2 linked regions of the Anolis sagrei genome follow. The protein of the gene in region 2 purifies or fractionates together with the protein of the main gene of each other region. This does not show direct contact. Links are inferred from orthologs where the notes say so. Each region holds a gene or a part of one and is shown on either strand. Other genes may lie near its edges.

Region 1 (9,385 bases), on a different chromosome or scaffold from region 2:
TTTAGCGAATTTCTTATTAATTATGAAGGCTACTCCATTTCTTCGATGTTCCTCTTGTCCGCAGTAGTAGATCTGGTGGTCATCTGATGTGAAGTGGCCCATTCCAGTCCATTTCAGTTCGCTGACCCCCAGAATGTCTATCTTTAGTCTTGACATCTCACCAATAACAACATCCAATTTGCCCTGGCTCATAGATCTTACATTCCAGGTTCCTATGGTGTGTTGATCTTTAGAGCATCGGATTCGTCGTTCGCCTCCAGTACCGTCGGCCGCTAGCCTTCCTTTCGGCTTTGAGCTAGCTGCGTCATCACATCTGGGGCTAGTTGAACTTATCCTCTGCTCCTCCCCAGTAGCATTTTGGCCATCTTCCGACCTGGGAGTCCCATCTTCCAATGGCATACCGACATATCTCTGGTTGTACTGGTCCATTTAGTTTCCAATATATCCAATATCCAATATATCCAATATCCAATATATCAATTACTATTTCGAAAGGGAAATAATCATATTTACTTGAATCTAATGTTCACCTTTTTTTGGCTAAATTACCTTCCCAAAATTAGAGTGTGTATTAGATTGGTGTAATATGGTATTCTTCATGCTGAGCCAAAGCAAAAGTGAAAATTACTTCAGAAGCGTCTGGAGCTCCTACTAAAGTGGATTCATTCTACAGCATAGATGCACCCCAAAGTTTTTCCCCCCAGGGTTTTGAAAATTGAGGTGCACATTAGATTCAATGGCACGTTAAATACGGGTACACTGATCTCCAGCTCAGGCTTCTGAAGCAACTTGTCCCAACAAGTGCCCTTATCATATTACTTAGATAATCTCATCCAGTAACATGCATGAGCTGAGCTTTGGTATCAAGAAAGCAACCAAAAATGTTTATCTATTTAAGACAATGCCATTTTACTTATGGATTATGAACAATGGCCATATGGTCACAGACCTCTATATCCATACAGTGCTACTGAGTGGAGATATGAGACACTGTCAATGGTCCTTTGGGGGAAACAAATCTTGCTTGTGTTCGGTCAGATTTGTCATAAGACATTACCTACTTGTGGTCTAGTCACTTCCCAACCCAGGTTTTTTTCCTTTATCAGGAACCAAAATAGCTTTGCTACAGGAGAAAAGACACCTAGGAGTGTCCTTAACCCTTGCCATACACCTGGATCATCTCATGATTCCGCAGTAGGGCTGTGCAAATTTTTTTTTTTGTGGGCCGTGTAATTGGTTAAATCTGTATTTACAATTATAGAGGAGAGAAAAGCCGGGAGTGTGCAGGCAGAGCAGCTAACCCTCGGGTGGTCCTCTCCCCTCTCCTCCCCTCCCCACAGGAGGCCAAGAGATGTCAGGGGACAAAGCATGGCGGCAACCCAGCATGCTGCCTGCTCTCCTCAATATATACAATACAATACTATATGGAAATAATAACATTGTAATGTAATAATGCTGATGTATTGTATGTAATGTTAACAATGTTGCAATATGATATATTGTATAAGGTAAAGGTAAAAGTTTTCCCCTTGACATTAAATCTAGTCGTGTCCGACTCTGAGGAGTGGTGCTCATCTCCATTCCTAAGCTGAAGAGCCAGCATTGTCCATAGATGCCTCCTGGGTCATGTGGCCAGCATGACTGCATGGAGTGCCGTTACCTTCCCGCCGAAGTGGTACCTATTGATCTACTCACATTTGCATGTTTTCGAACTGCTAGGTTGGCAGAAGCTGGGGACAAGAGGAGGAGCTCACCCTGCTCTCTGGATTCAAACCGCCAACCTTTCAGTCAGCAAGTTCAGCAGCTTGGTGGTTTAACAAGCTGCGCCACCAGGGGGCCCTTTGTATATTGTATAAACTACACCTGATGATATAATGTACTGGTAGTGTATTATTTATATACTGTGGTATAATAATATTGTACAAAATAATATATAATATTATAATTGCATATTGTATGTTACATATAATATTACTAATAATTCCGCAGTATAATCTGTTATTATTTTTGATGTAGATGTGGTTTTGTTTTTGGGATTTGGAGGGTTGGCTATTTTTGTTTTTGGCATTTAATGTTTGCTGATATCTGCTGTAAACCGCCCTGAGTCCCCAAGGGGAGATAGGGTGGGGCATAAAGGAAGATTGTTATTATTATATTATATTATAAAAAGCAATTTTATATTATAAAAAAAGTTTTGTAACTTTTAGAAATGTATTTTTGGGTGCTGAATTAAAACTAAAATACACACACACTCAACGCCATGCCACGAAGATATTTCAACCAATTTGGTTCTTGATCAGTTCTGATTGTAGGGGCAAAGAAACCAAAATATTTCTCAACAAGCAGAAGCCCCCTTTCCAATGGGGAGGGCGAGGAAGGACACCACAAAAGTTGAATCTTCGAACTGCAAAAAACCCTTATTTATTGCGTGGACATAGTAATAACGACAAAACATGCGTACAGGAATGCAATCAAAGGGTGTGTTGCATCCCCAAATAGGGCTGCAGAGCTTTTACCATTTCTGGCAGTAAAATGAATGCACATTCTTGTCTTATTTCCAAAGAAAAATCATTTCATTGGTCTAAGCTAGCTATACAGTTGCTCATTGGTTGTTAATGATTTTGATTGACTTAATAGCACAGCGGGACCCCAACAATGACACAACTATAGCAGAACTATAGTCCATTGTTCTCTGACCATGACTGTCTTAATAAATCAATCTTATCTGTTAGTCTGCTGCAAACATAATTCTGGAGCGACTGAGAAATTTGGGGGTTCTAACTATCCACTAGTAAGCCGGTTTTGTCCAGATGCACTGTTATCAACTTCTTAATTATTTTATCTCACATCCTGTGTTCAACTTTTTAATTATTTTATCTCACACCCTGTGTTTACCTTACTGTATTATTTTGCAATTGTTTGTATTTTATTTGATGTTATTATCTCTGTATGTATTTTAAAAGGTAAAGGTTTCCCCCTGATATTAAGTCCAGTCATGTCCGACTCTGGGGGTTGGTGCTTATCTCCATTTCTAAGAGCCAGCGTTGTCTGTAGACACCTCCAAGGTCATGTGGCCAGCATGACAGCATGCAGCACTGTATGTATTTTACTTTGTGTTATTGTACTCTTTGGGCTTGGCTTCATGTTAGCCGCCCCAAGTCCCCTTGGGGAGAAGGTGGTGGCGTATAAATAAAGTTTGCATTTTACTTGATGTTAATATCTCTGTATGTATTTTAAAAGGTAAAGGTAAAGATTTTCCCCTGACATTAAGTCCAGTCATGTCCGACTCTGGGGGTTGGTGCTCATCTCCATTTCTATGAGCCGGCGTTGTCAGTAGACACCTCCAAGGCCATGTGGCCAGCATGACTGCATGCAACACTGTATGTATTTTACTTTGCGTTATTGTACTCTTTGGGCTTTGCCTCACGTTAGCCACCCTGAGTCCCCTTGGGGAGAAGGTGGTGGAGTATAAATAAAGTTTATTATTATTATTATCATCATAATCATCCTTGAAAAGTAACTCTGCAGCATTTTCTGTAAACATAGCCCCACTGCAGAAACAGGCCAATCTGGCAGTAAATCGGGACAAATGGGCATTGGGAACATCTCTGAAAATTCCCTTTTAAAACTACGTCTCCTCCATGATTAAGGAGGCATGTGCAGTGCAGAATGGATGCAGTTTGGCGTGATTTAAACTGCCCTGGCTCAAAGCTATGGGCTCCTGGGAGTTGTAGTTTGGTGAGGCACCAGGGCTACGAGGCAGAGAAGGCTCTCGGCTCTCAGGAGTCCACCGGCAGTTCAAGCGGGGCCAAGCTGCCTCCATCCCGCAGTGTCGAGGCGCCCCCGAAAGAGAGAGCGCCCCGGGAAGGCGGAGAGGCGGGCGAGGGAGGCGCTGACCTTGCGGAAGTTCCCCAGGAAAAGCTCCTTGGCGAAGGCAGGCCGCGGGCAGCAAGTGCCGAAGGGCCTGCTCCTGCCGGGGAAGGCGGCCCGCGCCGAGCGGAGGAGGAGAAGCAAGCCCCGGCCACTCATGGCTCGCTCGCCCTCAAGGAGGAAGGGCCGCAAGAGGCGCCCAGTGATGACGTTGTGCCTGCTCTACTCCTCAGGCGGCAGGATAACCCCGCCCCTCAAGCGTCTTTCATACCTTCGGTATCACTCTGCTCTGCCAGGGCCGGGCCTACCACTTTAACTGCACCCCGTTGCATTCTGGGGCTTGTAGTGCAGTGAGGCTCAAGAGCTGTCTAAATGAGTGTCCTGAGTGGAGCACCTTGGACTGCAAATTCCAGCATTCCGTTGGAGGTTGCCATGGAAATTTAGACGCTGCGATCTAATAGTGTGACGTCACGCCGTCCATAGAGTCATAATTGTGTAGCAAGCACATGCTACCTTCATATTCCAGGTTGATTTTTAACTCAACCTTTATTTTTAATGAGTTACATAGAAAGAATAAAATTTTAGGATTCAGGATTTTAGTCTAGCTCAAGTGGGTTTCGTTTGTGTGTGTCAGGAGCGACTTGAGAAACTGCAAGTCGCTCCTGGTGTGAGAGGATTGGCTGTCTGCAAGGATGTTGCCCAGAGGACGCCTGGGTGTTTTGATGTTTTTATCATCCTTGTGGGAGGCTTCTCTCATATCCCCGCATGGGAAGCTGGAGCTGACAGAGGGAGCTCAACCTGCTCTCCCCAGATTTGAATCAGCACAAGTGGGCACAAGTGGGTCAAACTGCATTAATTCTACAGTGTAGACCAGACATGCGTCAACTTCAGCCCTCCAAGTGTTTTGGACTCCAAGTCGCACAATTTCTAACAACTGTTTTTAGGAATTTTGAGAGTTAGAGCTCAAAACACCTGGAGGGCCAAAGTTGGCTCACACCTAGTGTAATGTATATGTAGGTGCTCCAGTGTAGTGCTTTTATAATCTGGTGTGATTACGATACTGAGAAAATGGGCAAGTTTGCTTCTGCCCACCAACTCATACACAATAAACCTGCACCCAACTCTTTAGCCACTTGAACCTAAACACCCAATAAGCCTGTTTGGTCATAAAGGGTGCAAGGGATCAATGGAGGCCTGCTGTCATTGGATGGTCCTTGCTGGAAGGCCTGTCAATAAGGAGATGCCCAATGGAATATGGCACAGAGAGAGAAACAGAGAGTGCGATCCCCTTTAGACTGGTGGTGTGTAATGTCATATCAGAACTAAGAATGATCTATCACAACTACTTTGAGGAAAGAACAGTATTGCTGTAGTGAGATGTCTGGATGGGACATCATAGTTGAAGGATATGGACCACGTAGTACATGTCCGGTGAAGGGCAAGAAAAGGCAAGGGATAAGCAAAGCTGTATGAGGAAAGACTTAGAGAGTACGGAGAGCTTCGAGAAGAGAATGTCTTTAAATATTTGAAGAAATGTCAAGCAGGTTAAGCGAGCTTCTGTTTTATTGCTCCAGAGAAGGCATGGGCAGACTTCGGCCCTCTGGGACTGCAGCTCCATAAATCTTAACAGACCTCACAACCTCGGAGGATGCTTGCTATAGATGCAGGCGAAACATCAGGAGAGAATGCCTCTAGAACATGGCCATATAGCTCGAAAAAAACCTACAACAACCCAGCCTATTGGCTGTTAGGAATTGTGGGAGTTGAAGTCCAAAACACCTGGAGGGCCAAAGTTTGCCCATGCCTGCTCTAGAGAATAGAACCACCAATGGATTCAAATTAGAAGAAAAGAAATTCCATCTATACATCTATTTAACATAATAACTGTTTAGGAGTAGTATAAAGGTAAGGGTAAAGGTATCCCTTGACATTAAGTCACTACTTGGCGTGGTGGAGGTGGAGGTGGTCATCTCCATTTCTAAGCCGAAGAGCCGGCATTGTCCGTAGACACCTCCTGGTCATGTGGATGGCATGACAACATGGAGCGCCATTACCTTCCCACTGAAGTGGTACCTATTGATCTATTCACATTTGCATGTTTTCAAACTGCAAGGTTGGTGGAAGCTGGGGCTCACTCTGTCTGTGGATTTGAACTGCTGTCCTTCCAATCAGCCAGTTCTGCAGCTTAGTTTCACCCCGCTGCCCCACTGGATAGACTGCCTCAAATTGTGATATAGACTGCCTCAAATGCTAGTGGGCTGACTTTGGTTCTTCTCTTCGAAAAAAGTGCACTTTAAATTTTTGAATCACAATCCATTCATGGCCCAACAAATATTTCCTTTCATGTACATTTTCCTCACATCTCATAACCCCTTTTACTTTCAAGAATACATAGCCATCAACCTGAAATCCATCACCTACAATCCAATCTGCGTCTGTCAGCCATCTCTTACATCTTTGTTGTGCACAGCATCAAACCTCATCACACTTGCTTTTTATGATAATGGCTGCAGATAAGGGATGGACAAGCATCACTCTTACTCATTTTTGCACTTTAGGACTTTATTCAAATGGTGCCTATCAAATCTTTAAATGCCTCACACACTTCTCTCCCCCACCTTTTCACGTGAAGAGATTTTTTTCTTCTGCTTTATGAAGCCGCTTCCCTATTTTTACTTTAAATAGACTCAAAGCTTTAAAAATATATGACCATGGAATTACCATGCTGCAGATAAAAAAGCAGAATGAAGAATGTGAAGATAAATTAAGAATAAGCCAAAGGTAGGTTACACTAATTATATTTTGCTGCAAGAATCTGATGTGCTGATAATTATGCAGCTTGAGTTCAGAATCTTGTAATAAATTTTATATGTGGACAGCAAGTCTATAATAAATTGTCATCAGAATCCAAATATAATTGAAAGCTTATTTTCTCTTTCCTGAAGGAAGAAACTTCTCAGGAAAGGATTTAAAAAATATATAGCCTTTTCTGCCTTTTGTCGAGTTGCCTTTCTTCATCTGGTCCAGTGCTCAGCCACCATTCTGGGACTTGTGGTCTGAAAAGTAACATTTCCAATCTAGGCTCTACATGATACTGGATTGTTAAAAAAGCTTTGGAGATTTCTCAAAACAACACAAAATCAAATTGAATGATGGCTGAGGGAATATGGGTAGGCTTCCAACTATGGTTAATTGCATGAATAATTTTCTCTGTAGCAGTATTTTCTTGAGCTGGAAAAATACTGCACATCCTCAAAACAAAAACAATAGCTGCTCCTCAAAAAAAGAGTTATTATATGATGCCTGGCTTGACAGCAGTCCATGTGAAAAAGATTTTGGAGTCTACATGGACAAGAAGTTGAACATGAGCCAACAGTGTGATGCAGCATCTAAAAAGCCAATGGGATTTTGGGCTCCATCAAAAAGAGTATAGTGACTAGATCGAGGGAAGTTATGGTGCCCCTCTATCCTGCTTTGGTCAAACCTCAGCTGGAATACTCTGTCCAATTCTGGGCTCCACAATTCAAAGGAGGTATTGACAAGCTGGAAGGTGTCCAGAGGGGGCTCTATGAGGAGTGTCTTAAAGAACTGAAGGTTCTTTAATATAATGTCTCCTCTCAACCCTCTCTTAAAGAACTGAAGGTTGAGAGGAGACATTATAACTATATATAAATATGTGAAAGGATGTCATAAGGATGAGGGAGCAGGCTTGTTTTCTGCTTCCCTGGAAACTAGGAAGACCTTCCGGATTGTTCAGCAGTGGAATTCTCTGCCTTGGAATGTGGTGGAAGCTCCTTCCTTGGAGGCTTTTAAGCAGAGGCTGGATGGCCATCTGTCAGGGATATTTTCATTGTGCTTTTTCTGCATGGCAGGGGGTTGGACTAAATGGCCCATGTGGTCTCTTCCAACTCTATTAAAATTTTATGATCCCCACAATGTGTCATTCTATCTCCAATGCTTTTTAACATTTTCGTGAAACTGCTGGGAGAGATGATCCGGATATATGGGGTAGGATGCTTTCAGTATGCTGATGAGTCCCAAATATATTTCTCCAGGCCTTAAAAAACAGCCTAGGCTTAGGATAGCATGTCTCATCTGAATGAAGAAAAACAAACTGAAACTGAATCCAGATAAAAATGGAAGTGATTATGATCAGGGCTTCTAACCTGGGTTTGGAGGTGTGTCAACCAATTCTGGATGGGGTTACATTCCCGCTGAAAGACTATTCACAGTTGGGAGTTTTGCCAGATCTGTCTCGCCAAATATCAGTCCAGATGAATATGACACTCAGAAGTGCTGACTACTAGCTTCAGCTGATACGCCAGCTGTGTCCTTTCCTAGAACTGGAGGACCTAAAGATGGTAGTGCATGTGCTGGTAGCCGCAAGGCTCAAATCTTCTGCATTTGTACTGCACATTGGGCTCCCTCTGTACCAAGTTTGGAAACTCCAGCTAGCTCAAAACATAGCAACCAGATTGGTCATGGGAACATCTAGGAATGATAGCACACCATTATTAAAATATTTATTTATTTAAAACATTTATATTCTGCCCTTCTCGCCCCAAAGGGGACTCAGGAGGAGCACAGCATATATATGGCAAACATTCAATTCTGGGACACGAATTCATATACGCATACATAAACATTAAAACATTTATCAAAATATTAAAATACACCATTTAAAACTGTCCTAGTCATCCACGTCAAATCTAACTGGCCTGTTAATTTAGGAAACTATTGCTGCTTTATTGCCCTGTCCCAAAAGCTTGGTCCCACAGCCAAGTTTTTACCATCCTTCTAAAGGACAGGAGAGAGAGGGCCAACCTGATCTCACCAGGAAGGGAGTTCCATAGCCTGGGAGCAATCACCAAGAAGGCCCTATCTTTTGTCCGCACCAATTATGCCTGTGACAAGAGTGGGACGGAAAGCAGGGCCTCCCCGGAGGATCTTAATCTCCGCGATGGTTCACAGGGAGAGATGTGTTTGGACAAGTAATTTGGGCCAGGGCCGTTTAGGGCTTTATAGGCCAAAGCCAGCACTTTGAATTGTGCCTGGTAGCAAACTGGCAGCCAGTGGAGCTGGCGTAACATGGGAGTTGCATGCTTCCTGTATGCCGCCCCAGTTATTAACCTGGCTGCCTCTCGTTGGACTATTTGAAGCGTCCGAGCAGTCTTCAAAGGCAACCCCACGTAGAGTGCATTGCAGTAGTCTATCCTAGATGTAACGAGAGCATGGACCACCGTGGCCAAGTTTGACTTCTCAAGGTACGGGTGCAGCTGGCGCACAAGTTTTAATCATTCCATTATCTGTCAATTATCTGTTTGTTATTACAGTAGAGTCTTGCATATCCGACCTTTGCTTATCCGACATTCCATCTTATCAGATGCTTTTATCTGATGCCCCCTTTTTATCCAGCATTTCCTCTTCAATTCAAGGAATTCCTCTTCAATTCAATTTCCTCTTCAATTCACTCTCTCTCCATTCCCAATAAGTGAAAAAAAGGCAAGATGAGGAA
Region 2 (9,111 bases):
AACATTTTTTGATTTCAATATAATAGCAAAACTTTGCAGAACTAATAAAACATCCTGTTATTTCATCATTAATGGTCATGTTGCAATATATAACAAGAGCTTTAATTTGTTATATAATAAATTCTCTGAATGCACACCTATTCTTTCATATATTGTATTTCTGATCCTGTTGACAAAGAGTACAACTGTTTTTAATGTTTTTATTACCACAGCTAGGGCTATTATAAGCAGCATAGCATCATAATTCAAATTATGGGAAAAGCTTCCAAGACATAAAACCGCATGCATGCATGCAGTGGGGTCTTATGAATTTAACTGTTCCAGGAGAACAGCCAAAAATCAACACATATACTCTTGTCACTATGCCTGGAGACTGCTTCATTTGCAGAATTTCAACCTGTTCTGCAGCAATTGTTGACAAATGATCTCTATGAGAAAAAAATGTAGCAAACCTATCAATTCATTAATCAGTTTTACTTTCATAGAGACTGTTTGAAAATACTGTCCTTGCAGAAGACATTCAAAGTGACCAAATGGCCAGTGTGTCCAATGTGGAATACATCTCACTACACTAAAACAGTAGATGCGGCTCTTAATGAAACATGCCGCATTATCACAGGATATCTACACCCTACACCATTGGAGAAATTATACTGTGTAGCCAGTATTGCACCACCTGACATTCGCCAGGAAGTAGCAGTTAATAATGAAAGGACCAAGGCAGCGACATTTCTGGCCCATCCCCTGTTCAGATATCAGCCAGCATGCCAACACCTTTAATCAAGAAATAGTTTTCTAAGATCTACAGAGATACTCACAGGAACACCTCAGAAAGCAAGAGTCCAAAAGTGGCAGGCTAAAACCCATGCCATGGCTAATTCCGAATGAGAGACTCTCCCCTGGGTACACAGAAGACCTGGTGACTTGGAAGGTGCTAAACAGATTGCACTCTAGGACCATGAAATGCAGAGCCAACCTTAAAAAATGGGGCTACAAAGTGGAGTTCACAACATGTGAGTACAGAGAAGATCAAACCACAAACTACCTATTACAATACAGTCTGAGCCCTGCCACATGCACAATGGAGGACCTTCTTATAGCAACACCGGGGGCACTCCAAGTGGCCAGCTACTGGTCAAAGGACATTGAGTATAATGCCAAGTTTTTAAACTGTGTTTTTAAAAATACATTACAACTATACATTGGGTTCACTTCTGATACCATAAATAAAACAACCAAATGGTGCCTCAGGAGAAAATATTTACAGAATCTATGTTTTCCCTATGTTAGTCAGCCCTATGTCTTCGAAATATCTCTACTCAACATGCGATTGGACAAGCACTGAGACATTCATGTCTTCTGGCTATTCTAGAACCTCAAAAGAAACCATGCTAACATATATAAACATGTATAGATGAAATTTTGTTCTGATTCAGTAATCCAAGATCCATTCATCCATACATCTGTTTTGTCCTTCTCTGTATCCGAAGGGTTGGTGACAACTGGAAGTGACATTTCTGCCAATTGGAAATTAATTCCTGTCATTTTGGAATTGGGCTGAGGATGAAAATAGGACAAGACTAACTCTGTAGAAATCAACTCTTTCTCAACAAGCGGAATCTTGATGTATCCAAAGAGACCAAGGCCACAAAGAGATGGATCCCCTATCAGCCGAATATAAAACAATCTGCTTACGCAGTGTCCCTTGATTTCCACATAGGGCCCTTCTCCACTAATGAATGCACATGGCCTGCAGGTTATTACGATTCCTATTCTAATGTGGAGAGGAAAGTGGAGAAGAAAGAGGTTGAGAGAGAGGGTGGGAATGAAATCATGAAATGAAACTAGATGTGTTGTTTTCAGCTCTCATCTACCTTTTAACAGGTCCTGGAAATGAAAACTTGCCCCTTAGACTGGATGGCGTTGCCCACCCTGATCTTTAAAAAAACCCACAGTGCTCAAGGGTAGAAATACGTCCCCACATTACAGCACACAAATCACTCCACAACAGCTGAAGAGATATTTTAGGATGTTTGCTATACTAGATAATTGCATGCCAATGGGTTCTGCTATAGCGGAAGACAAGCTGAATTAGGTAACATTTATACAAATATTTTTTAAAGGTATAATATTTAATAACTGCAAACTCCACCTTCAGTTAAATGTGTAATGGCCCATTTCCTTCCCTACTTTATGCCACATTAATGTTATTAAATTTAGCACAGCTGGCTGATGACATTTTACTGTGTGAGATGAAGGACAAGATTGTGCCTATCCAAACTGGAAAAGCCCACTGAAAAATTGTCAAAAACATGTTTTTGAGTGATGAAAAACCTTAATGAGAAGAATCCTGGACTAATGAGAATCTTTACAATTGGGGACTCATTCTACATAAAATTCACACATAGTTGATTTGTACATACTGTAAAACATTTTCTGTGCAGAAAATATTATTCATTATATATTTATGGGCAAAACAGCCACACACAAGTTTTTTCACAGAAGTTTTGAATCTTGAGTAAATGTCAAAAACTGCATGGTTTTCAAAGACCTTCTCATAGGAGGAAAAATTACCAAGATTACCCGTTGTTTTTGTCAAGAAGAACATGAATGAAGAATTTTCTACTGAGATGGAATGACCTCCTCCACCAAACCTGGCACATTTAGGAGGTCACAAGGCAAGCTGCTTAGTGCTCAGCTCTCTCTTTTGGTGCTGTCTTTGCTATCTTAAGTGATCATCTCTTTGCCTACTGGAAGGGGGAGCTCCGCAATTTAGGCTGGGAAGGTTTTCTTTTTCAGAACCTGAGGGTAGTTTGAAAAAGACATCTCTTCGTAATGTGTAGATCTGTCACATTTTCCCCTCTGCTAAAGCAAGTTGCAGGGTTATGTTTCAAAAGCCTATCCAAAGATAGCAATTTATTTTATTTTGTTTGTAATCCACTCTTCCCTGACAAGCAATTCAAGGTTGCTCACAACGTAAGTTAAAACAAAATGATGATGTTGATGATGATTAACAACAACAACAACAGCAACAACTTTATTTGTAACCTGCTCTATCTTCTCAAGGGGACTCAGGGCGGTTTCCAGAACACAAGTGGCAAACATTCAATACCATAATGAACAACAGGACAAATCAAAAGAAGAGATAAATAACATCAATATAAATTTAATGGAATATAAATTCCAATGAAAACAGTACAATAAATGAGAGATTTTTCTAGGGACACAGCAATACCACAAACACAATATAAGTAGGAGATAGTACTCTTCGATGCATTGAAGCTTCTGATTATCCAGAATCTTCTTGAATACATTAATTGCTTTTTGACTCCAAAAGCTGAAAACACAGATGAATCTGCCTATTGATTATGGTCACACATTAATTAGGCCAATATCAGGCAGTGCTTTTAACATCTAGATTGTAAAATAAATGCAAGCTAATCCAAATTCCATATATGAATTTGGAACAATTCCTTCTGTTTATGCAACGTTCTTTGTCACTGATGAAAGGTGACCATAGCATTTCAAATAAGGAACAGATTTATTTTACCACAGAAATTTTGAAGGGAAAGGAAGCCAAGCTAAGCATTTTAAAAACCTCATATTCACAGTCTTACATATACAATAGCTTATATACTGCATTTCTTTGCAAAAATATCTCAAACTTTGTGTGCCAAAATGCCAACTCTTAAGTCTTCAGTTCCAAAATACTATGTTTCATGCTTCACTCAATAGACCAATCATGCAATTCACCAGTTTTTGATGCCGCTGTGACTCTTACTATGCTAGGGACTATGCTTAACAAAAAAGGCAAATCAGGGTTAGTGAGTTCCTGGCTCTTCAGAGGCCATGGACTTCAATCCCAGCAGACTTACCTAGTATGATTCATGGCAGTGGATTATGGACATTGTTCCATGATATCTAGAGAGTCAAAGATCATCCAAGACTTCTGCAGAAGCGGAAATACCCCCAGGCTGTCCTATGTGCACTTCCTTAGAAAGCCCAAGTGAACTCAGAGGAACTTAACCTCGCAATATTCATGAGATTATAATAAAGGTCTGCTTAATCATCTTGCATGTCAACACGTATTAAGGAAATAGGAAATCAGAGGCATAATAATGTTCGTACTTTTCTCCTTTTGGCACGGTTTGTTTGCAATCACTTAGCCAACAAACCTCATCCAATCTTCTTATCCCTCCCTCCACAAAAATGGCAAGAATCACACAGTATATGTATTTGTTTCTTTCTTCTAAACAATTGCAGCAATTTACCAGAAATGCTCCAGCAAGATTATTTGGAGAATGCCCTTTTAAGCAGGCCGCAAAGCAGCATAAAAAGAAACATGTTTTTGTTTTACAAAAATGTTCCAGTTCAATATGGGTTTTTTCCTCCTGAATTCACTAAATTCCTCTTCCACAAAAACAAAAACACCACCAAATGGGAGATTCCTTTACGAATGAATAATGCTTAACCGCAAGCTAAACATGAGTCAGCAATGCAATGTGGCAGCTAAAATGGCAAACTCAATTCTGAGTTGCACAAACAGGAATATAATGTCCACAAGAATTAATGTCACAATTCAATTCTGTTTTGATCAAGCCTACGTTTGGGTACTGCGTCCAGTTCAGGTTAAGACAAAAATTGACTGAAGGATGACAAAGGGTCTGAAAAATGTGTTTCCTTAGGAGTTGGTTATGTGGAACAGAGATTAATGCCAGGTTATGTTATAGTTATGTTCTGACATTTCAAAGGTTGTCACTAAGATAATGGTGCAAACTTGTTCTTTGTTGATCTACAGCAGTGTGTCCCAACTCTGGTCTTCCAGATGTTTTGGACTTCAGTTCCTAGAATTCCTGACAGTTGGCCAAGCTGACTGGGTCTTCTGGGAATTGAAGTCCAAAACTGCCAGAGAACTAATGTTTGGAAAATACTGATCTACACAAAGGGTAGGCATATGCTGATTATCATTTTCACTCCTCTTATGCCAGGTGATAACCAGAAATGATGTTTCAGGTGGCCAGAGGTTTCTCTTATTTAGGGGTTTTTTTGTTTTGTTTTTGTTTTGTTTTTTGCATTACTTGACTGATTTAGGGTTCAGAATGCTAAACTGAAATTGCTGAGACCCAGCTTCAAATTAACAGTCAGGCATTAAGCTATCTGAGGGCTTTTCCAGACAGGCCCTAGCCCTACACTCCAGGATCTGATCCCAGGTGTTCTGCTTAAAACTGGATTATATGAGTCCCCACTGTCAGATAATCTGGGATAAGCAGAAAGCCTGGGATCAGATCCTAGGATATAATGACAGTGTAGGGCCTTTCACACATCTTAACAAAAACCTACATTATCCGCTTTGAACTGGAATATATGGCAGTGTGGACTCAGTTAACCCAATTAGAAGCAGATATTGTGGGATTTGGGGCCTTGATATTCTGGGTCAAGCCTTTGAACAATAGATGGAATAACAGGAAAGGAAATGTTTTAGTGACTGCAATGGATTGACCTGGACTATGATTTGAACCGGTGAACTGTTTTTAAATTGAATGTTTTATAATTGTTTTTTAAATTGTGTTTAATTGTGTCTGTGATTTCTAATGTACTGTGTTGGCACCTGATGGTTGCCTATTGTAAGCTGTCCCGAGTCCCTCTTCAGAGGTGAGAAGGACAGGATATAAATGCCCGAAATAAATAAATAAATAGTTGTGTGGAAGGGCCATAGAAGAGCCCTGGGAGACTTAGGCCAATCACTCTTGCTCAGCTTAATCTAACTTCTTTGTATGGTTCTCGGCTCTTTTATATAATCATGGCTGATTCACATTGAGCTCCAACCCATGTATTGTCTGTTCTCTTTTCCAATTGCAAATCCCCAAGGGCCCTTCCACACAGCCCTATATCCCAGAACATCAAGGCATGAAATCCCACATGATCTAAGTGTGGACTCAGATAAAACGGGACCCTTCCATACAGCCCTATATCCCAGAATATTAAAGTAGAAAATTCCACATTATCTGAGTGTGGACTCAGATATCCCAGTTCAATGCAGATATTGTGACATTTTCTGCCTTGATGTTCTGGGATATAGGGCTGTGTGGAAGGGCCCTCAGTCTGGGTGTACTTTTGATGTAGGGCTTTTCTACACAGCCATATAACCCATAATATCAAGACTGATAATCTACAATATCTGTTTTGAACTAGATTATCCGAATCCACACTGCTATATAATCCAGTTCAATGTGTGGAAGGGGCCTAAGTTTCCAACTAAATACAGGTTCAAGAAAGAGAAATCAAAATCTTATTGATAAAACACATTTACCACATAGTGAAGGGGTCCTCAAACTTTTTAAACAGAGGGCCAGGTCACAGTCCCTCAAACTGTTTGAGGGCCGGATTATAATTTGAAAAAAAATAATGAATGAATTCCTATGCACACTGCACATATTTTATTTGTAATGCAAAAAACACTTAAAAACAATACAATAATTAAAATGAAGAACAATTTTAACAAATAATAATGTATTAGTATTTCAATGGGAAGTGTGGGCCTGCTTTTGGCTGATGAGATAGTATTGTTATTATGTGCTTTCAAGTCATTTCAGACTTAGGTTGACCCTGAGCGAGGGCCGGTAAATGACCTTGGAGAGCCACATCCGGCCCTCGGGCCTTAGTTTGAGGACCCCTGACATAGTGTGACTTGGGATACATCTACATTGTAGAATTAATGGAGGTTAACACTATTTAACTACCATGGCTCAATGTTAGGGACTAATGGGAATTGTAGTTTTATAATGTCTATAACCTTCTCTGGTAAACAGTGAGCTGATACCTCACCAATCTAAAGATCCCTGGATTTCATAGCATTGAGCTATGGTGGTTAAAGTGGTATCAAACTGCATTAATGCTATATTGTAGATGCACCTAGATCTGATATACAACCCCTAGAAGCTGTTTAGTTATGATGATTTTTCTTTCACCCCTCTTCTTGGCATTGCTCCCAAACCAACCTGTAACTCGAGTTAATGCTTATTTTGCAAAGCTGACAATTTTTCAAAAGCTGCAAAATGATTTTTTTTCCCAAGGTGACTCTGCGGGCACAGTTCCACAGACTGTTTATACTCCTGAGTACTAACTGTCTACTGCTGACATGACCAAACTTTTAAAGCCCCATCAGATTTTTGGATTTGATAACTCCTTTGTTAATGCTGTGCACACAGGCCTCAGGGAAAGCAGATAGATTCCAATTCTCTCAAGCCTTGAGTAAGCCAAATCCCACAACATCATAAGAAGGAAAAAGAGGGAGGGGGGGGGGGGAGAATAAGAAAAAAATAATCTTTCAAAACATGGAATTGTAATCATAGCAGTAAAATTAGGGAATAAACAAGAAGTGTCAGTTTTGTTTTAATAGAATGACTTTTTGCTGTTTTATGTTCCAGAGTAAAATTGTCTGTTCCAAAGGAGCACCAAGAAAAGGTTGTGTGAATTTTAACAGACAAGGAAACAAGACAGAAGGCAAGACAAGGAGACAGCCTGCCAAAAAGAAGACTGGAATTTTAAAGCTACAGAAGAAATTAGTTTCACTTCTTTCTTCTAAAGCAGCGTTTCTCAACCTGGGGGTCAGGACCCCTAAGGGGGTTGTGAGGAGGCTGTCAGAGGGGTTGCCAAAGACCACCAGAAAACACATATTTCTGATGGTCTTAGAAACCCCTTTGGCAGAGAAGGCTGAAGGTCTCTCGCCTGTCCTTCTCTTCCTTTTTGGAAACAGACAGTGAATCCTCCCACCAAAAGCCCTCTTCCTGTGGTGATTAGCCAGCCACTCAGCTGGCTTCTCAGCTAAGGGGAGGGCTGTTTCTGAGACTCCAAGCAGGGAGGGGAGAGCAGGCATGGTCGGCGCATGGCAGCGTGGTGTGCATGTGCGGGCAAGGTAGAGCATGAAAGGCTGGAGTGAGGTTCATGCCATCAAGTCCCGTCATGGCAGGGAGGAAAAACCCCGTGCGACATGGGACTGAGAGTGGCCTAGTACTCATGCCAAGTCTGATCCAGACACATTGACCTTGAGTTTTGGAGTTATAGTTCACCTACATCCAGAGAGCACTATGGACTCATCTGAGTGCACAGTACACTCTAGATGTAGGTGAACTACTCCAAAACTCAAGGTCAGTGCCCACCAAACCCTTCCAGTATGTTCTGTTGGTCATGGGAGTTCTGTGTGTCAAGTTTGGTTCAGTTCAATCCAATTGTTGGTGGATTTCAAAATGTTCTTTGATTGTAGATTAATTATAAATCCCAGAAACTACAACTTCCAAATGACAAAATCACCAGTATTCAAATTTGGGCAAATCAAGTGTTTGTGCTAGATTTGGTCCAGGGAATGAAAATGCATCTTGCATATCTGATATTTACATTACGATTCATAACAGTAGAAAAATTACAGTTATGAAGTAGCAACAAAAATAATTTTATAGTTGGGGGTCACCACAACATGAGGAATTGTATTAAGGGGTCATGGCATGAGGAAGGTTGAGAACCACAGTTCTAAAAGCTATGCTTGATACTCCATAAAATAAAATAATCAGGTTTTTAATTCCAACATTTATTTGGTCCATTTTAGGTCTTTACCTAAAACTAAGGGCTTTATGATTATGAATTTAATACCATGGTTGTGAACTATCTTGGTAATGTTTCCTTAAAATGTGGCATACTTTAAAAAACTGAAATGCTATAGTGAATCATAACAATAATACTATACACAGTAAACAAACATCTGATAAAGTCAACAAACAAACAGCAATCGGATTATTTGCAGTAGCAACTAACCGCTTCTAAATAGGGAAACCCATGCATTTTAGCCTTGCACCAAAATCTCAATAAATTTGGTACATGGGATTTCTCGTGGGAGATGACATTACAAAGTAAAGATACAATCAGAGAGAAGGCCCTACACCACCACTTGCAAACTTTCCTTAAAGGTAGGATAATGATATGGGACTTTCTCTCATAGAGTCATAAAATCACAGCAAGGGAAGGAGTCTCATGGTCCACTGAACCTGCTGCCCAAAGCAGGATTTAAATTAGCTGAGCGTTATCTTTCCTTCACTCTCTTCCACTTTAAAATGACAT

The links.
Region 1: the proteins of EYA2 (region 2) and ACAD9 purify together in Homo sapiens (affinity purification with mass spectrometry; 3 studies listed by BioGRID and IntAct, with this or other methods). This does not show direct contact. The link is inferred for Anolis sagrei from reciprocal best matches to the Homo sapiens genes EYA2 and ACAD9.

What each region holds. Positions count from the first base shown.
Region 1 is NC_090022.1:63,845,469-63,854,853, reverse strand, and holds the start of ACAD9 (complex I assembly factor ACAD9, mitochondrial), read right to left. Parts: upstream 4,082-9,385; 5' UTR 4,030-4,081; coding exon 3,898-4,029; intron 1-3,897. UniProt on the Homo sapiens protein: As part of the MCIA complex, primarily participates in the assembly of the mitochondrial complex I and therefore plays a role in oxidative phosphorylation.
Region 2 is NC_090024.1:219,244,841-219,253,951, reverse strand, and holds the start of EYA2 (eyes absent homolog 2), read right to left. Parts: upstream 3,938-9,111; 5' UTR 3,890-3,937; coding exon 3,876-3,889; intron 1-3,875. UniProt on the Homo sapiens protein: Functions both as protein phosphatase and as transcriptional coactivator for SIX1, and probably also for SIX2, SIX4 and SIX5.